Oryctolagus cuniculus: one gene and its partner. The protein of the gene in region 1 interacts with the protein of each later gene in a pairwise test. Links are inferred from orthologs where the notes say so. Each region holds a gene or a part of one and is shown on either strand. Other genes may lie near its edges.

Region 1 (9,182 bases):
GTGGGTATTAGGAACAGTCTCGAGATGATTTAACGTGGAAGTTACATGTAAGTACTACTCCACCCATGTGTGAGGGACTTTGCACCCATGTGTGAGGGACTTTGGTACCCACAAGGAATCCTTAAACCTGTTCCTGACGTACTCCATGGAATAGCTACACTGTTGGGCTATTTAAAAAGAAATATTACACAAACTAAATGAGTTCCAAGATGTTCTGCTTTGAGAAATATAACATCTCATGTACAGAGACAGTGTTTATGACCCCGTTACCCAGAGGCAGCTCTCCCGGTAAGGTAGTATATGCTGAGGGCTGTGGTCTCTGCAGTTGGCACCTTATATTGAAATGAGAGTAACCAAGTTATGTTTTCTCTGTTAAAGTCAAAAAGACTATACCATAATGTTGCTACTAAATGTTAATACCATCACTAGGGCCATTGTTGGGGAAGTGCATCTAGTTCTAGATTTGGGGATTACTTGGTCAAGTCTTTGTACTAAAGCAATACTTTGAAGGTTGCCTTCCAGTTTTTTATTTTGTTTTGTTTTTTAAAGATTTATTTACTTGAGAGGCAGAGTTACAGAGAGGGATGTTCCATCTGCTGGTTCGCTCTGTAAATGGCTGCAACAGCCAGAGCTGGGCTGATGAAGTCAGGAGCCTCCTCTGGGTCTCCCATGTGGGTGCAGGAGCCCAAGCACTTGGGCCACCCTCTGCTGCTTTCCCAGGACGTTAGCAGGGGGCTGGATCAGAAGTGGAGCGGCTGGGACGTGAACCGACACGGATATGGGATGCCAGCACTGCAAGCAGAGGCTTAACCCACTAAGCCACCCCCACCTTCCAGTTTTATAAATGTGCTTTTCTGTTATAGTGGAAACAGATGGAAGTTTTTCTATGAGTTGTATAGGCTTGACAGTCTCTGTAACAGAAAATAGACTTTGTTCCTGGAGACTTTTCTGTGAACAAAGTGGCATCACAGAAGAGGTGTCCTTAATAAGAGCTGCAGGGTAGGAAAGACCGAACAATGGTGTTACATGCAGAGGCGCAGAGAACACTGGCGTGTTGTGCCACCCCGAATGTGTAGTAGCCTTAATAGCTACTCAGATAATTGTAAGGTAGATTTTCTTTTTAGATTTATTTTATTTATTTGAAAAAGTTACAGAGAGAGGTAGAGACAGAGAGAGGGGTCTTCCATCCACTGGTTCACTCTCCAGTTGGCCACAACGGCTGGAGCTAAGCAGATCTGAAGCCAGGAGCCAGGAGCTTCCTCCGGGTCTCCCACGCAGGTGCAGGGGCCCAAGGACTTGAGCCATCTTCTGCTTTCCCAGGTCATAGCAGAGAGCTAGATCAGAAGAGGAGCAGCCGGGACTAGAACCTGTGCCCATATCGGCGCTTCAGGCCAGGACTTTTTTTTTTGGGGGGGGGGGGGGACTGACAGAGTTAGACAGAGAGAGAGAAAGGTCTTCCTTCCGTTGGTTCATCCCCCAAATGACCGCAATGGCCAGAGCTACACCAATCTGAAGCCAGGAGCCAGGTACCTCTTCCCGGTCTCCCACGTGGGTACAGGGACCCAAGCACTGGGCCATCCTCCCCTGCCCTCCCGGGCCACAGCAGAGAGCTGGACTGGAAGAGGAGCAAACAGGACTAGAACCCTGGGCCCATATGGGATGTCGGGGCTGCAGACAGAGGATTAACCAAGTGAGCCATGGTGCCGGCCCCCAGGCCAGGACTTTAACACGCTGCGCCACAGCGTTAGCCCAGGTAGATTGTTTTATGTTGGTTCTCTACCCAGCCCCCAAAAAGGAAGTTTAATGATCTGACTAACATTAGGTTTGCTTTGGAGGCCGTAGGAACCCAAAGAGCGTGAATGTCACCTTTCATTCCTTCACCCTTCCATGGCAGTCTTGGCAACTCAAATAGAATCACTGTTCACCTGTGTTTCTTAGATGCTTCCACTAATTGTTTGAGAAACAAAATTGTTTCCCATTTGTTCTGAAAATAGAGAATTAGAGCTGTAGTTCTCCAAACTGTTGTGTAAATGGTCACATTACTTGTTTTATTTTTGAAGTCTTGTTTCCTGAGTTGAGAACTCATTCCAGACTTACCCTGCAGTGTGTTTGTCTGCTGAATTAAAGCAAATCAGAACACAGCAGAAGCCACCATAGCCTGACCTAGCAGGTGCTTAGCCCTCGTGGAGTGAGCAGCTTTGCTGTAATAAACATAACACAGGAGTCGCACGGTGGGGGAGCCGCCGCACCCACTGACTGATGAGGCAGCACTGAGCATCCTCACGCCCTGAGCAGCCGCCTCCTCAGGGAGTGTGCGTGGGGTGTTGGCTGTGGAGGCTGTGAGGTGGCTGTTGGCCCAGCACCTCATAACCAGGCTCACCCTAACGTTTTATCGCCATGGCCTTCTGTTGATGTCGTCTGTATCACCTTTTCTCTTACGCGTGTCGTTTTATGGGAGTGAGTGAAGCGCAAACTTGCGCAGTAGATGTAGGGATTCAGAGTCAGACTGATGACATTGTCAGTAGTCTGGAGCCAGTACACGCAAGCATCGAAGTGACCTTCACAAGCCTGGCTCGGAGGTGTGCTGGTGTTCACGTGCCACGTGAAACGCCCAGCGCTGCCTCCCTGCTTGAGATCGGACGTTGCCTCTGCAGCGTTCTCTGTGCTTTTGAATGAAGGTGTTCCGGCAGAGCCCTGGGGTCAGGGAAGAAGTCGCACATAGTAAGCCTAGTTTTACAGAGTCCGGGGTGACTCCAAGAGCTCTGTGTTCTGTTTTGAGGATAAGGGTTGTTTGGGGGAGTGGGAGCTCTCTGAAGTGAGACTGATGATCCAGACTGTCAGTATTTGTCTTCCTTGTTTGCTTTGGGTGAATCTTGGAAACTTACTAATCCGGTTGAATAAAATAGGGATTGCCCTGAGGGCTTTCCTGGTCAGTGGGAAAGCTGTGATTTATAAAGTTAAGCATATGAATTAAAGTGATGGTGAGAAGCCTTGGACAGACTAGCAGTATAATATGTTTTAGGCAGTTTACACAGCTTGGTTTGTTTAACTGTTGTTATTACATTCGCTCTTGTAAGCATGGTCGTTTCTGAAGGGGGAACTCCTCAAACGAAACCAGCTCTTGCTTACTGCTGGTGACAGTGGCCTCAGACATCTTCCTAAAGTCCAAACCACTCAAGGCTAACAGATGCTGAGTTTCTTCTCCGGGAGGTGAAGAGTGTGTTTGTAACTAGTGCCTTTCCACTTTGCCTTTATCAACATCACGCTAAGTGGAAGTAGATGTGAATCCCTGTGGGGCGTTGACCAAAGCACACACCCCCCCACACCCTCCCTGCCTTGCTGGAGCCAGTTTGAGATTTGTAGAGCAGGGTTTGTTTGGGGGCGTGTCCCTTGTCTTATCTGTGGGTGAGCATATGCTAGGGTTGACTTTATTTTGACCCTTCCATTTTGAATTTGGAACCGGAGCCAGTTTAAAGTGCAGCAGGAGCAGCGTGCCTGCTGGACTTCAGCATGAGGGACCCGGGGCTGCAGGTGGGTAAGATCTCTTCTGTGCCGCTCTCAGGTTTGCTCACGGAGGCTGGCCACCGTCTGAAGGCACACACTTAGTGGGATCTCATAGCAGCTCCTCAAGGGGCTAGTGTTTAAACTACATGGAGGTCATGTGCTTAGTCGTAGCGGCAGCGTATTTGTATTTTTTAAATTAATGGCAGAACAATTAAGTTTTGAGTGTTTGGAAGCCTTTTCAAAAAGCGTAGCGGGATGGGTATTTGCATGGGGGGAAATACCATTTGTGATTGATAGAATGCGTGTGTGCGTGTTTTAAGGCGGTCACTTTGTCTTGAGCTGGCATGGTTATTACTAGATCACGGTCCCCCCGGTTGTCCTCAGGATCAGGAACAGCTCTCTGCTCACTGATTATTATTTATTTCTTCCCAGTGATTTCGAGCGCACTTCCTTGTGGATATAGCAGACTGGACTGATTTCTTTCTCCACTGATCTCTTCCAGAGCCTGGCCCAACTAGAAAACCTGTGCAAACAGCTGTATGAGACAACAGACACAACCACTCGCCTGCAGGCGGAGAAAGCCTTGGTGGAGTTCACCAACAGCCCCGACTGCCTGAGCAAGTGCCAGCTCCTCCTTGAGAGAGGAAGTGTACGTGAGGTTTGAAACACCCTGAAGGGAAGAGGGCAGTGTAGCAGGCTGCTCTGGCTCTCAGGCTAGGGGTGGAGCGGGGGAGCTCCTGCTCCCTGACTCTCTAGGTGGCCCTGCCTTCTTCATTTACTTTTACAAAGTGCCATACTTGCCCGGTTGGTGAGAAAGGCCAAAGACCCCACCAGGAAAAGATATTTGACTGTTCGTTTCTGTCCTGTTGTTTCCCATCTTGAAACAAACTTCTGGGACTCATTTTCTGTGTTTTTTTTTTTTTTTTTTTTTAAGATTTATTTTATTCATTTGAAAGGCAGAGAAGGAGAGCGAGAGCGAGAGATCTGTCTTGTATCCACAGGCTTAATCCCCAAATGGCCTCAGCGGCCAAGAGATGAAGCCAAGTGCTTCCTCCAGGTCTCCCGCATGAGTACAGGGGCCCCAAGCACTTGGGCCACCCTCTGCTGCCTTCCCAGCAGGGATCTGGTTCTGTAGTGGAACAGCCAGGACTGGAACTGGTGCTCTGGTAAGGGATGCCCATGTCACAGGCAGGGGCTTAACCTGCTGTCCATAGCACTGCCCTTCGCTTTCCGTTTTGATGCGTAAGTGCCACCTCCTGTTTTGTTTTATTTATTTGAGAGGCAGAGTTACAGACAGAGAAAGGGAGAGACAGAGAGAAAGGTTTTCCATCTGCTGGTTCACTCCCCAATTGGCTGCAACGGCTGGAGCTGGGCAGATCTGGAGCCAGGAGTCAGGAACTTCTTCCTGGTCTCCCATACAGCTACAGAGGCCAAGCACTTGGGCCATCTTCCACTGCTTTCCCAGGGAGCTGGATCGGAAGAGCAGTAGCTGGGTCATGTATTGGTGCCCATGTGGGATGCTGGTTCCGGAAGTGGAGGCTTAGCCCACTGCCCCCACAGCACCAGCCCTGCCCCCTCCTGTTTATTACAGGAGGGCAGGGCTGGGTAGAAGTGATCTCCTTCTGGTCCTGAGTCCTTGTCACCCTATAAGGCCCTCAGTTTTCTCTGTGTCTTCCTCCTCTGTACCTTACAGTGAGTCTAGGAAAAATGACTGACAGGAAGCTGTAGGTTTTAAATGGAATTCAACACCCTGCCAGCTTAGAAATGGCATGGCAGTGATCAAAATGATGCTTGATTGAGACATAACTTGATGAAGTGACTATTTTCGGCAGAATGGAGGGGAAGTCCTGAAAGGGCGTCAGAGCCAGGCCTGCGGTGGGCAGCACTGACCTCTGTGACAGGGCATGCGGTCAGGTGCAGTCCTCCTTTTCCCTCGTGCTCACACAGGCACCTTGGCCTGTGTGCCCTGTGCAGCCAGTAGGCCTCACTGTCGCTCTTGTTGGCGGGGTGGAGATGAAAGTGGATGTCTCAAATGTGATGGGGCCACCGCTGTGGCATAGCCAGGGAAGCCGCTGCCTGCAGTGCCGGCATCCCATATGGATGCTGGTTTGTGTCCCGGCTGCTCCACTTCCATTGCAGCTCTCTGCTATGGTCTGGGAAGGCAGTGGAAGATGGCCCAAATGCTTGGGTCCCTGCACCCATGTGGGAGACCTGGAGGAAGCTCCTGGCTCCTGGCTTCGGATCAGTGCAGCTCTGGCCATTGCAGCCAATTGGGGAGTGAACCAGTGGATGGAAGACCTCTCTCTTGCTCTCTGTGCCTCTCTCTCTCTGTGCAACTCTGACTTTCAAATAAATAAATAAATCTTAAAAAAAAAAAAGAAAAGAAAAGAAAAAAGAAAGTGGAAGTGATGGTATAGTGCTGTGTCCTGAACAGAGGTTTATCCCTTAAGAGCCGGGTAATAACACAGCATTTCCAAAAAACTATCCTTTGGACTGGAAGGAGATGTGGACAAATAAAAGCATTTAATTTGTTGAGGGAGTAGGGCCAGCATTGTGGCACAGCCAGCTAAGCCTCTGCCCCGTGATGCTGTGTGGGCACTGATTGAAGTCCCGGCTGTCCCACTTCTGATCCAGCTCCCTGCTAGTGCTCCTGGGAAAGCAGTGGAGGGTGGCCCAAATATGTGGGCCCCTGCACCTACCTGGGAGACCCCAGTGAAGCTCCTGGCTCCTGGCTTCAGCCTGGCCCACCTCTGGCTGTTGCAGCCATTTGGGGAGTGAACCAAAAGATGGAAGATGTCAGTCTCTGTCTCTCCCTCTCTGTAACTCTGCCTTTTAAATAAGTAAATCGTGAAAAAAATTGTTGAGGAGGATAGACTTCTGACTTTCATTTTTGAGTTTTCATTAGTGTCACAATTGTGTTTATGCGACAAAGAGTTAGTTAGAATTATCCTTTAATAGCTAAAGATCGAATTCTTTTTTCCAAATATCTGAAGATTGCAAAGTGATAGATTATGTAGTAGTCTGTTGTAAGTTGTACAATACTAGTACTACTTCGTATACTTCTTTTAAATCACTCGGTGTTGGGAATGATCGGCCTAAAGCTCTCCAGTCCACCCCCACCACAGTGCAGAGTTTGACACTGTCAGCTCCAACTCCTGCCTGTTGACTCTTGACAAGTTAAAGAACACAGAACTGGGACAATGCTGAAACCAGAGTGGTTTCTGCCTTTTTAATCTCTGTTGACTTCTTAATGACTTGTTAGATTTATTGCATTATATCTAAGAACATATATTCATTATACAGTTATATATTATGTATTACGATTAGAACAGTCTCTTAGTCATGGTTTCACATGCCTGCATTAATCAGTCTAAGTCATGTTCAGGTATGTTGAATAAAAACCATGTTGTCAAAGACTTGGTGTTTTTCCATAATTAATTTTTTTAAATAAATGAATAGCCTCCTATCTTAAGGACCTTTAGTTTCATGAAAAATTATCTTGGACCCTGGATTAAGTTAGTTACTACTTCTCATTCTGTTTCTGTTGTGTGACATTATGTAATTAATGTTGTCACATGATTCTTATATCCTATGACCAGATGGAATGCTTTAATTCTTCATAAAGTGAAAATTCATTAAAAATCACATTTGAAAATGTGATAATGCTACTCTGGTGCTTAGGACATAAGTTTTCTTTCTCAACAAATATCTTTTCAAAGTTTACTTTAAAACTCATCTGCTGGCCGGCGCCGCGGCTCACTAGGCTAATCCTCTGCCTTGCAGCGCCGGCACACCGGGTTCTAGTCCCGGTCGGGACGCCGGATTCTGTCCCAGTTGCCCCTCTTCCAGTCCAGCTCTCTGCTGTGGCCTGGGAAGGCAGTGGAGGATGGCCCAAATACTTGGGCCCTGCACCCCATGGGAGACCAGGATAAGTACCTGGCTCCTGCCATCGGATCAGCGCAATGCACCGGCCGCGGCGGCCCTTGGAGGGTGAACCAACGGCAAAAGGAAGACCTTTCTCTCTGTCTCTTTCTCACTGTCCACTCGGCCTGTAAAAAAAAAAAAAAAAACACAACTCATCTGCTATCCCAAAAGCTATGGCTGTGCTGATAGAGAATTTGGGGGTTAAGTAGATAGCATTGTGGGGTTTCCTCAGAGTTCTGTTTCTTCCTTCTAATGCCATGCTGTAGTCCTTTTGAGACATCACGATAATGGGGTGTTGAGGTGGAGAGTTCTTGGCTTGTGGGAGCTTTCTGAAAGGTGCCCTCTAGTGTCTGTTTTCAGGGAAGCTGGTGTCCATGTTGGATTAGGTCCAGCAGGCTGTTCACTCGCCCCTCGTCCAGCATTGCAGTCAGCTGAGCCCTGTGCTAGCGGGGACTCATTCTTCCCCAGAGTGGTAGACCCTCTAGCACCTGAAAGACTGAATAAAGTAAGACAGGTTCCCTTTACTTGGGAACGTGCAGTGACAAACCTTGTGACGATGCAAGTTGAAGTCTTTTCCCCCTCTCTTCGCAGTCGTCTTACTCCCAGTTATTGGCAGCTACATGCCTGACGAAGCTTGTGTCGCGCACAAACAACCCCCTGCCACTGGAGCAACGCATAGATATTCGTAAGTACAGGATTTCCCGTCTGTCTTGAGAACAATTCAGTCTGCTTAGTGGTGTGTTAGAAGTTAAGTTTATGAGTTTGCCTGATAACATGCTTAAATTTAAGCAAAGCATGCGGAATATCTAGTCTGGGTTTCTGCCGAGGCCCTGTTTGTTGTAGCATGAAGAATGAGGAAGGCTTCAGGGTGTACTGTCTGAGCCTGCCTCCTCTCCGCCACCCTTCATTGTGGAGCGCTGCACTCCAGGGATCGTTTCTCTTTCGTAGGGAACTATGTGCTCAACTACCTTGCCACCCGGCCAAAGTTGGCTACTTTCGTGACACAAGCGCTCATCCAGTTATACGCCAGAATCACAAAGCTGGGCTGGTTTGACTGTCAGAAGGATGACTATGTCTTCAGAAACGCCATCACGGACGTCACGAGGTTTTTACAGGTACGATGTCTGTATTGGATGTAAAGGTGTGACACAGCAGCATAGGCATAGAAACTGCACAAAATGGAATTATTTGGTATGTTCTTTTCTATGGTTTTTTTTTTTTTTTTTTTAACTCTTAACATGTCTTGGCAGTGTCTACGTGTTACCACAAGCAAACCCTGCCTCATTCTGTTGAAGGCGCACATACTATTCCCAGCTAAAATAACACAATTAACTAACTTCTTGTAGATGGACATTGAGTTTGTTTCCAATTTCTGGCTGTTAAGGAGGTACTTGCATAGAAATTCTTGCATGTTTGTGGAGTGACTTCCTGGCCTGAACCTGGACTTGGTCAATCAAAGGGATGTATATATTTTTCCTTTCAAGCATATTTCCAAATCCGCCTCAAAAAAGTTACACCTAATTATACTTCTGCCAACCCTTTGTTAGGGTACTTACTTTGCAAAATTTTTTATTTGTCCGATTTAATAGGTGAAGAATTAGTATCTCACTGTTTCGTTTATGAGTGAAACTGGACAAATTTTCATTTTATTTCACTGTTTACATTTTTCTGTGAACTTCCTATTTTCACCGTTAATTTTTTAAATTATTTATTTATATTTTGATTTGAAAGGTACAAAGAGAGATCTTTGGCCC
Region 2 (9,108 bases), about 89 Mb from region 1:
CCGTGCAAATTGAAATCAGGAATCCTAGGAATCAGATCCCGCTGAAGAAAAAAAAAAAAAAAAAAAACAGTTGTAGTTAACCCTTATGTGTTCAATTCTTCCCTGACATTATCAAGTGAAGATGATGACAGTGTTGATTCCAGAAGGTATACTACAGGCCTCAGGTTTTATAGGATTTACTGCTGACGTTCAGCAGGTCCATCCAGAAGGATTTTTCATTAGTTCATAGTATGATTTAGGTTTTTAATTTTGAGAACAAGGTGTTATAGTCTTACTCAACCAATAGTTGGATAGAATAGTTCTTTCTTTGTCCCTGATGTGTGGCATTTTCTGTTTCTTACCTATAAGAAAATAAGTTGTTTAAAGAAAAAATAAAGGTTAATTTATTTTAAGTTTACACATGTACATTTAAAGTGTAAATAATGATACAATTTTATAATAAAAACAACTGGCCTGGCTTCACTCCTCCCCTACCCTTGTACTCTACTTCTTCCTATCACCCCAAAATTATGGGATACATACTTAAGTCAGCAGTCAGTTACTATCTGTAATGACTATACTAATACTGCACCTGCTAAGCCACATAGAGCCCTGTACCTTTCATGAGTTGTCACTCTGTTCTTCATCTGACTGATCTTGTGTCTCTGCATAGTATTGGTGCCATCATACCTGTAGCACCCTGGGCCTTCCAGAAACCCCCCTCCTCCTGCTGCAGCCTGGGCTCCAGTTCTGCTACATGTCTCTTGTCCTGGGGTCCTGGGACTTTATTTTGCCATCCTCCTAGGATTTCCTTTCACCCCTGTCTTGACTTGGATTGTTTGGTTATCTGGCTCTTATATCTTCTTGTTTTACTCCTGGGTTTATTATGTTATTTTCCTTAATTTCCTGAAAGAAGTAAAAGACAAGAAATTTTTTTAGCCCTTTTCTTTCTGAAAATGTCATTACTTTCAGAGCAGGATATAGGATTCAGGGTTGGAAATCACAAATACAGCTTTCAAAACATCATTCCAGGATTGTTCTGAGAAGTCTGAATCCTGAGCCTTTTTCTTTCTAATGTAACCTGCCTTTTCTCTCTAGAAACCTGAGGCCTTTTCTTCATTTCTGGTTTTCTGAAATTTACTGATGGTGTGCTGTAGTGTAGCTCTCTTCCCCACTCTTCCCGCACAAGGCCCTTTGAGCTGGGGATAGATGCCTTCTGTTTCAATGATATTTTTGGTATTCCTTAATTCTCTCTTCTCTTCTGCACCTCTATGAACACATTATTGGATATTCTGAATCCAGTTTGTCTTTTTAAAAAATCATTTTAATTGACAAATTAAAATTGTGTGTATTTATCATATACAACATATTGCTTTGAAATATGGTTTTGTTTTTTATTCTATTTTGTTGAAGTTCTTTCAATTTCATCCTTAGGTTTCATTTTTAATTTAATGCATTTTAAATTTTTTCTCTGATTTTAAAATTTTAAAGTAACATTTTCCTCTTTTGTAAAAACATTTTATTATTATTAGTCTTTGTGGGCTTTTTTGAGACTTTAAATGTATGTGATCAAGTGTTATTTTTAATTGGAGACCCATGCTTGGTGTTTTGGAACTTTATCTTGGAAAAAGTGTTACAAGATTATAATGCTGGCCGGTGCCGCAGCTCAATAGGCTAATCCTCTGCCTTGCTGCGCCAGCACACCAGGTTCTAGTCCCGGTCGGGGCACCGGATTCTGTCCCAGTTGCCCCTCTTCCAGGCCAGCTCTCTGCTGTGGCCAGGGAATGCAGTGGAGGATGGCCCAAGTGCTTGGGCCCTGCACCCCATGGGAGACCAGGAGAAGCACCTGGCTCCTGCCATCGGATCAGCGCAGTGCACTGGCTGCAACGCGCCGGCCGCGCCGACCATTGGAGGGTGCACCAACGGCAAAAGGAAGACCTTTCTCTCTGTCTCTCTCTCTCACTGTCCACTCTGCCTGTCAAAAAAATAAAATAAAATAAAATAAAAAATAAAAAGATTATAATGCTATCACAGATTTTTATCTTTTTTGTGTCTGAGTTTTGACATTTAAAAATAAAAGCAGTATATAACATTTTTTTTTCAAAAAAGGTTTTCTTCTTAACTTTTTCTACCTTTTTGTTTTTTTCTCCCCTTAACAGACCATAAATACTGTATCAGAAGTTATTCGAGGTTGCCAAGTAAACCAAGACTACTTTGCTTCTGTAAATGCACCCTCAAACCCACCAAGGTAGGAGAAGGGAAATGGTTGTTAAGATGGCCCATATATGGGCCCAGCATTGTGGCGTAGCCGGTAAAGCTGCCACCTGCAACACCGACATCCCCTTTGGGCAATAGTCCCTGTCCCTGCTGCTCCACTTCCAATCTAGCTTCCTGCTAATGTGCCTTGGAAGGCAGCAGAAGATAGCCTGAATGTTTGGTTCCCTGCCACCCACATAGGAAACCTCGAAGAAGCTCCTGGCTCCTGGCCCAGCCCTGGCCATTGTGGGCATCTGGAAAGTAAAGCAGCAGATGGAAGATCTCTCTCTGTGTCTCTCCATCTCTCTCTCTGTAACTTTCAAATAAATAAACAAATCTTTTTTAAAAAATAAAGAACAGATATCCTCTATATACTTGTTAGTCCTCTATAATAATTCAGATATATGTTGTAAAGCAGATATCTGATAAAATAAATATTTTTCTAAGACTTAATTATTTTAAATGCAGAGTGATAAAGGACAGAGAGAGAGAGAGAGAGATCTTCAATTTGCTGACTCACTCCCCAAATGCCCACAACAGCCAGAGCTGGGCCAGTCCAAACCCAGGGCCTGGAACTCCAACCAGATCTCTGATGTGAATGGCAGGGACTCAAGCTTGCGATCCATCACCTGCTGCCCTCCAGGCACATAAACAGGAAGCTGGATCAGAAGCAGAGGCAGGACTTGCTCACAGGAACCCCAAACATGGGATACAGATGTCCCAAGCTGTGGCTTAACTCTCTGTCACAGTGCCTGCTGCAATACTGGTATTTTAAAAGAGTGGTAACATTACATTGATCTTTGGAACTTAGATGTGTAGGCTCAGATAACACCTTTTTCACTTCCTAGTGATGTCGCTTAAGCAGGCAGATTACCTCATTTCTCTCAGCTACTTTCCTTTTGTCTGAGATGGAGAATGAAATCCGTAACTTGCTCATGCTCTGACTGTGATTCTTCAGTCAACAGAAATGAACTGCTATTCATACATATATTCATATATAATGATTTGTATACCTGGTTGCAGTGTTTTGTTTTGTTCTTTTCCTTTTAAATGCAACAGGCCAGCGATTGTAGTGCTTCTCATGTCCATGGTAAATGAAAGGCAGCCGTTTGTCTTGCGATGTGCTGTTCTCTATTGTTTCCAGTGCTTCTTATATAAAAACCAAAAAGGACAAGGAGAGATTGTGTCAACACTCCTGCCTTCCACCATTGATGGTAAATAATTTAATTCTAATTTCTCTCTTAAGAAAGAAAATAATTGTCTTTTAAACTTTTAATTGAATCTGTCTCTCTGTCCCTTAGCTTAAAATACTGTGTATGGCTCAGGGGAATTCCAAAGCCTAAGGCATGGGTTTAGAAAACAGGCTTTGGAGTCAGACCACAGTTTGCATTGTAGAATTTCTACTTCTCTTCTGTGTAACTTTGGACAAGTTGTTTTTAATTTGAGCCTTATATCAAGTTGTGGGGAGGTAATAGTCACCTCAGTAGAAGTAGTCTGAGGATTAGTGCATTACATATGTGAATCACTCACCCAGATACCTAATGTAATAGATGCCAACAAGCAGAAGCTGCTGTTGGTAGTAATTACCATTCTAAAGATAACCCTACCAGAGTACACAGGGCATCGTGGTCTGTTGTTCTAGTACAGGTCATAGTCTTGCCTTTTCTATGGTTTCTTTAAATACTTCATTTTACCAGAGGTGATTTCTTTAAAGATTTGCCTTTATTAACTTTAAGAGCAGTTTGATAAAGAAGTAATTGGATATATCAGTGGAGTTCATTTGAATCACATACATTCTGAGTTTTTGGTCAAAACTTTGTTACACTTTACCCAAAATTTTTTTATAAAATCATTACTATAAAATATCAGATAAGAGGAATAATTTAAGTGTTATTTCCTTAACTTTGTTCTAGAAATGCTATTTTTAATCATGATAATCACCCCCAGGAATATTATCATTAATTTAACACCTAAAGTGTCATAATATGTCTTCATTCTGCTACTTTTCTTCTAAGATTCCTTTCTCTCTCAATTTTGTTTTGAAAAGCAGACTTTCATTGTTTGGAAATGTCACATGATACTCCTGATAAGTAAATCTTTAAATAGTATTCAGTAGTATTTCATACTATTTGGGTGTGTATAAAAGACAGCAATTCTTCTAAATTTGATTTCCTCCCATTTTTCTAGCAATGGGAAATTCAGTTTCAGCTGGTCAGTTACTATGTGGAGGTCTGTTTTCTACTGATTCTCTTTCAAACTGGTGTGCTGCTGTGGCCCTTGCCCATGCTTTGCAAGAAAATGCAACCCAGAAAGAACAATTGCTCAGGGTTCAACTTGCTACGAATATCGGCAACCCTCCAGTTTCCTTACTGCAACAGTGCACCAATATCCTGTCACAGGTAAAATACAGCATGAAACTTCTCCAGCCGGGAAAATGATTCAGCTATATGCCTTGATGTCAGTGATAACAGCGATTTAAGGATGCCCTTAGAATGTGCAGATGAAAAAGGAAAGAAAGGACGTAAACTCATTGTAACCAGAAACAGTTTTGTGAAAAGAAAATTTTTATAGGGCTGGCCCAATAGTTAATAAGATCTGATTCATGGTGGAAATACATGTTCTGAGCAGAAAGGTGGTTTTGATTTTATTTTCTTTTTAAGTCATCCATGATGTTTTTGCATATCAGTTTCTCTCTCTTCTCTCTCTTTTTTTTTCTTTTTTTTCTTTTCTTTTTTTTTTTTTTTTTTTTTTTTGACAGGCAGAGTGGACAGTGAGAGAGAGAGACAGAGAGAAAGGTCTTCCTTTTGCCGTTGGTTCACCCTCCAATGGCCGCCGCGGCCGGCGCGCTGTGGCCGGCACACCGCGCTGATCCAATGGCAGGAGCCAGGTGCTTCTCCTGGTCTCCCATGGGGTGCAGGGCCCAAGCACTTGGGCCATCCTCCACTGCACTCCCTGGCCACAGCAGAGAGCTGGCCTGGAAGAGGGGCAACTGGGACAGAATCCGGTGCCCCGACTGGGACTAGAACCCGGTGTGCCGGTGCTGCAAGGCGGAGGATTAGCCTAGTGATGTTTCTCTTTTTTTCTAGGTGACTGAATTCAGGTTAGTTGATGAGAGGGAACAGCATAAAGAAGATGGTAGTTGTGTGCCTCTCTTGTTTTCTTCCCAGAGCAACAGATTGCTCAAAAACAAAAACAGCAGTCCATGGCATATGTAGTTACTCAGTGTCCCCCTTGATGTTTGTGAGTCCTCAAGTTCCCAGCACACATACCTTATCTAATAAGGCCTAGAAAAACATCACTAAACATTTGAGAACAACAAAACTCTGTTGAAGTGTGGATGCTAGGTATTTAGGAATGTTACTTTCTATGAAGTGACTTTCCGACATGTGCAAGCCTTGCTGTTGAACAGTTCAAGTTCATGCTTTAGCGAAACTGGGAAGTCATTGACATTCACAGTCACTCAGGGAGGATGAAAAATGTGGCCAGGCCAACCTCTTTTTTTTTTTTTAATTTATTTTATTCATTTGAAAGACAGTTACAGAGAGAGGTAGAGGCAGAGAGAGAGGTCTTCCATCTACTGGTTCACTCCCCAGATGGCCGTAACGGCCGGAGCTGCGCCAATCCGAAGCCAGGAGCTTCTTCCGGGTCTTCCACGTGGGCGCAGGGGCCCAAGGACTGGAAGTGGAGCAGCCAGGACTAGAACTGGCGCCCATGTAGGATGCTGGCGCTTCAGGCCAGGGCGTTAACTCACTGCGCCACAGCGCCGGCCCTGATTGCCACCCTCTTACCCACCCACATGATACTGTGCTGAGTTCTTTAATTGTGAATTTTGCCTCATTTGTTGAATTTTTCCTTATTTTGAGCTTTTAAAGAAATACCAATGCCATCCACAGAAGTTACAGAGGAAAGCTTAAAATTGACTATAGTGAAGGAGTAGAATGTTGTTTAAAATTGGTTTACTTCCATTAAAGCTTAGTATATATTTGATTTATCACTTCTTTCTTATAAGAAAACTACCCCAAACTTTTTGTATCTTAATTAATATTTGGCATTCTCATGTTGCTGTATATTGAAAAATAGCCTTTTAAAAGCCAAACAGTAATTAACTGTCTGACTCCAATTCCACAGACCTTGCTTTAACATTGTAATTATAATTGGTACATAGTAAGAAAGCCTAAAGAGGTGATGTCTTCCCCACAAGGTGCTTTAAAATTAACCCTTTATCCTCTAAAATATGTATCATTTTTATGCAATAAAAGATAAGAATTATCCAGTCCAAAATTATTGGCTTTGGTATGTAGAAATATTGTGAAAGAATTTTGAGGGGTTTTCTAGAATCCAATTTTTCTGGAGTAGTGATATTTATGAATAATTTTTAATGTATAATTTGCAGGGTGATAAGATCAACAGACGGGTATGTATTATTTGATTCAGCTTAGGCATTTTCCTCCTACAGCAAGGCTTTTTCTTTGTCTTGGGTTTTGCGATATTTTTAACTGCTTGTTTGAATTTATATTCTACTCACACTTACATGTCAGCAAGTTTATCTCTATCTTACGTGGCTCTCCAGTTTTTCTCCGTGGGATTTTTGTTGTGGTGTTGCTAAGAACTATGGGAAAGAGAATCTGAAGCTGTGTACTTATGCTTCCTCCAGGGCTGCTTGCACTTTCTGGGATTCCTTGGTTTTGGTTTTTTGTGAAGCTTGTTTCTTTATTTCTTCTAAAACCATTTCATAGGAAGTAAAATTTAGAGTTAAGAATTTTGTGTATAGTTAATCACATATGAAAGGTTGAGAAGACTTTTATATTACTTAGATTATTTTAAACATGGAATAGTAAGTATCATTTTGTAATTGGAAAGATTTTAAGTTAAATAATACAGATTATCCTGGGTATAACCCATAAACTACAACTACCATTGGGGTTTAGTTCTTGATGTGTGAGAGTAAAGTGTTTTTTGTGTTTGGCTTGGTTTGGGTTTTGTTGGTTTGTTCGATGGTTGTGTTTTGTGTATTCTAATATTTGGCAAAATAGAAGTGGGCCTTAATATCCATGGTTGAGCATGTGTTTTAGTACATACGAATTGTGTTTCTATATGTGAGCATGATTTAGCATGTGTTAATGACACATATATTTGACAGCAGTGGGCTGTTGAGGTTTTTATATTAGAGACTAGAGATAAGTATTCAAGTCAGTCATTTAAAAGAGTATTGTTTGAGACACTAATTTATGCACTTTAGTAAAATGTACACACCTGATATGTCCAATCTGATTTTTTTTTATGTTTATTTATTTGAAAGACAGAAAATTCAGCTGGGTCACTCCCCAAATGCCTGTAATGGTCCCAGCCAGGGCCCAAGCCAGGAGCCACAAACTTACCCAGATATCCCACATTGATGGAGGAACCCAGATACTTGAGCCATCCCTACTGCTTCCCAGGATCTACAATAGCAGGAAGCTGGAGTCAAGAGACAAAGCAGAGTGTCAAACCCAGATACTCCAGTGTGGAACATGGATGTCTTAATGACCACATTAAACTTCCACTCGCAAGGGGATTTTTGATGTTTGAATGTATCTCTGTAACCACCACCCAAAAGATGTAGACTGTTTTCATAATTCTAGAAAGTTCCATGATGTTCCTTTCCTTTTTTCCCTTTTCATGTCCCAGAGTCTAGCACTAGAAAGTGATCTGCATCATAATATGCCAGAACCTCCTTTTAATGCTGAGCAAAAGACATTTAAAATGTTGGCTTTTTAGGTTTTAAAACAGTGCAAGATATTAGACTTGGAATGTACATAGTAGAAATGAGAGACATTTTTATCTAGAATGTATAATAGGGAAAATTTGATTACTTATGACAAAGAATAGAAGATTCCATTTCAAATGTTTTGTTTTAAATTCTCTTCCATCCCATAAAATCTGTGGCTTCTAATAAGTAAACCTTCAGAACACTGGGAAAATATCATTTAAGCCTCCGTTTGTTTCTCCAAATATCAGTGGTTCACATACTCAGGGGATGATAGAAAAGGATTTGCACTTTTTCTTATATTTCAAATAATTGTTCATTTTATAGTAAAGCATTTAACCCTGGTATTTGATATATGAGTTACAGATTTTTTTTTTCCCTGACATCATATTTGTCTTTTGACCTTGGTGTTGTGTCTTGATTTTTTTTTCCCTTATACTTTTCTTTCACAACTTTAGCACTTTGGTTTTTGGTATTTTTTAGTTTGTGTTTTTTTGTTTGTTTGTTTTTTTGTTTGTTTGCTTTTTGCTTTTTGCTTTTTTTGAGAGGCAGAGAACTCTCATCTACTTGTTTATTCCCCAAATGCTCACAAGAGCTATACTGGGCCAGGCCAAAGCCAGTCTGGATCTTCCACTTGGATGGCAGGAACCCAACGACCTTAGCCATCACCTGTTGCCTCCCAGGATGTGCATTAGCAGGAATATGAAATCAGAAGCAAAACCAGGACTCAAACCATCACTTTTTTTTAATAAACCTTTTTTTTTAAAAAAAGATTATTTACTGGGGCCAGCATGTGGCATGGCAGGTTAAGCCTCCACCTGATACACTGGCATCCCACATGGGCATAGGATTGAGTCCTGGCTGCTCCATTTCCCATCCAGTTCCCTGTTAGTGTGCCTTGGAAACACAGCAGAGAATGAATGACTCAAGTGCCTGGGCCCCTGTACCGATGTGGAAGACCCAGAGGAATCTCCTGGCTACTGGCTATGGTCTGGCCTAGTGCTGGCTGTTGCAGCCATTTGGGGAGTGAACTAACAGATCAAAGATCTCTCTCCCTTTGTCTCTTTTCTCTGTAACTCTACCTTTCAAATAAATTTAAAAATAAATCTTTAAAGATTTATTTACTT

Evidence for each region.
Region 2: the proteins of XPO7 (region 1) and USO1 interact in binary tests that used the Homo sapiens proteins (3 or more experiments, as listed by UniProt). The two-hybrid records come from large-scale screens. The link is inferred for Oryctolagus cuniculus from reciprocal best matches to the Homo sapiens genes XPO7 and USO1.

What each region holds. Positions count from the first base shown.
Region 1 is NC_091439.1:1,312,690-1,321,871, reverse strand, and holds the start of XPO7 (exportin-7), read left to right. Parts: upstream 1-3,450; 5' UTR 3,451-3,510; coding exon 3,511-3,531; intron 3,532-4,006; coding exon 4,007-4,153; intron 4,154-8,019; coding exon 8,020-8,113; intron 8,114-8,376; coding exon 8,377-8,543; intron 8,544-9,182.
Region 2 is NC_091439.1:90,119,790-90,128,897, reverse strand, and holds part of USO1 (general vesicular transport factor p115), read left to right. Parts: intron 1-2,138; coding exon 2,139-2,227; intron 2,228-3,294; coding exon 3,295-3,449; intron 3,450-4,422; coding exon 4,423-4,634; intron 4,635-6,628; coding exon 6,629-6,649; intron 6,650-9,108. UniProt on the Homo sapiens protein: General vesicular transport factor required for intercisternal transport in the Golgi stack; it is required for transcytotic fusion and/or subsequent binding of the vesicles to the target membrane.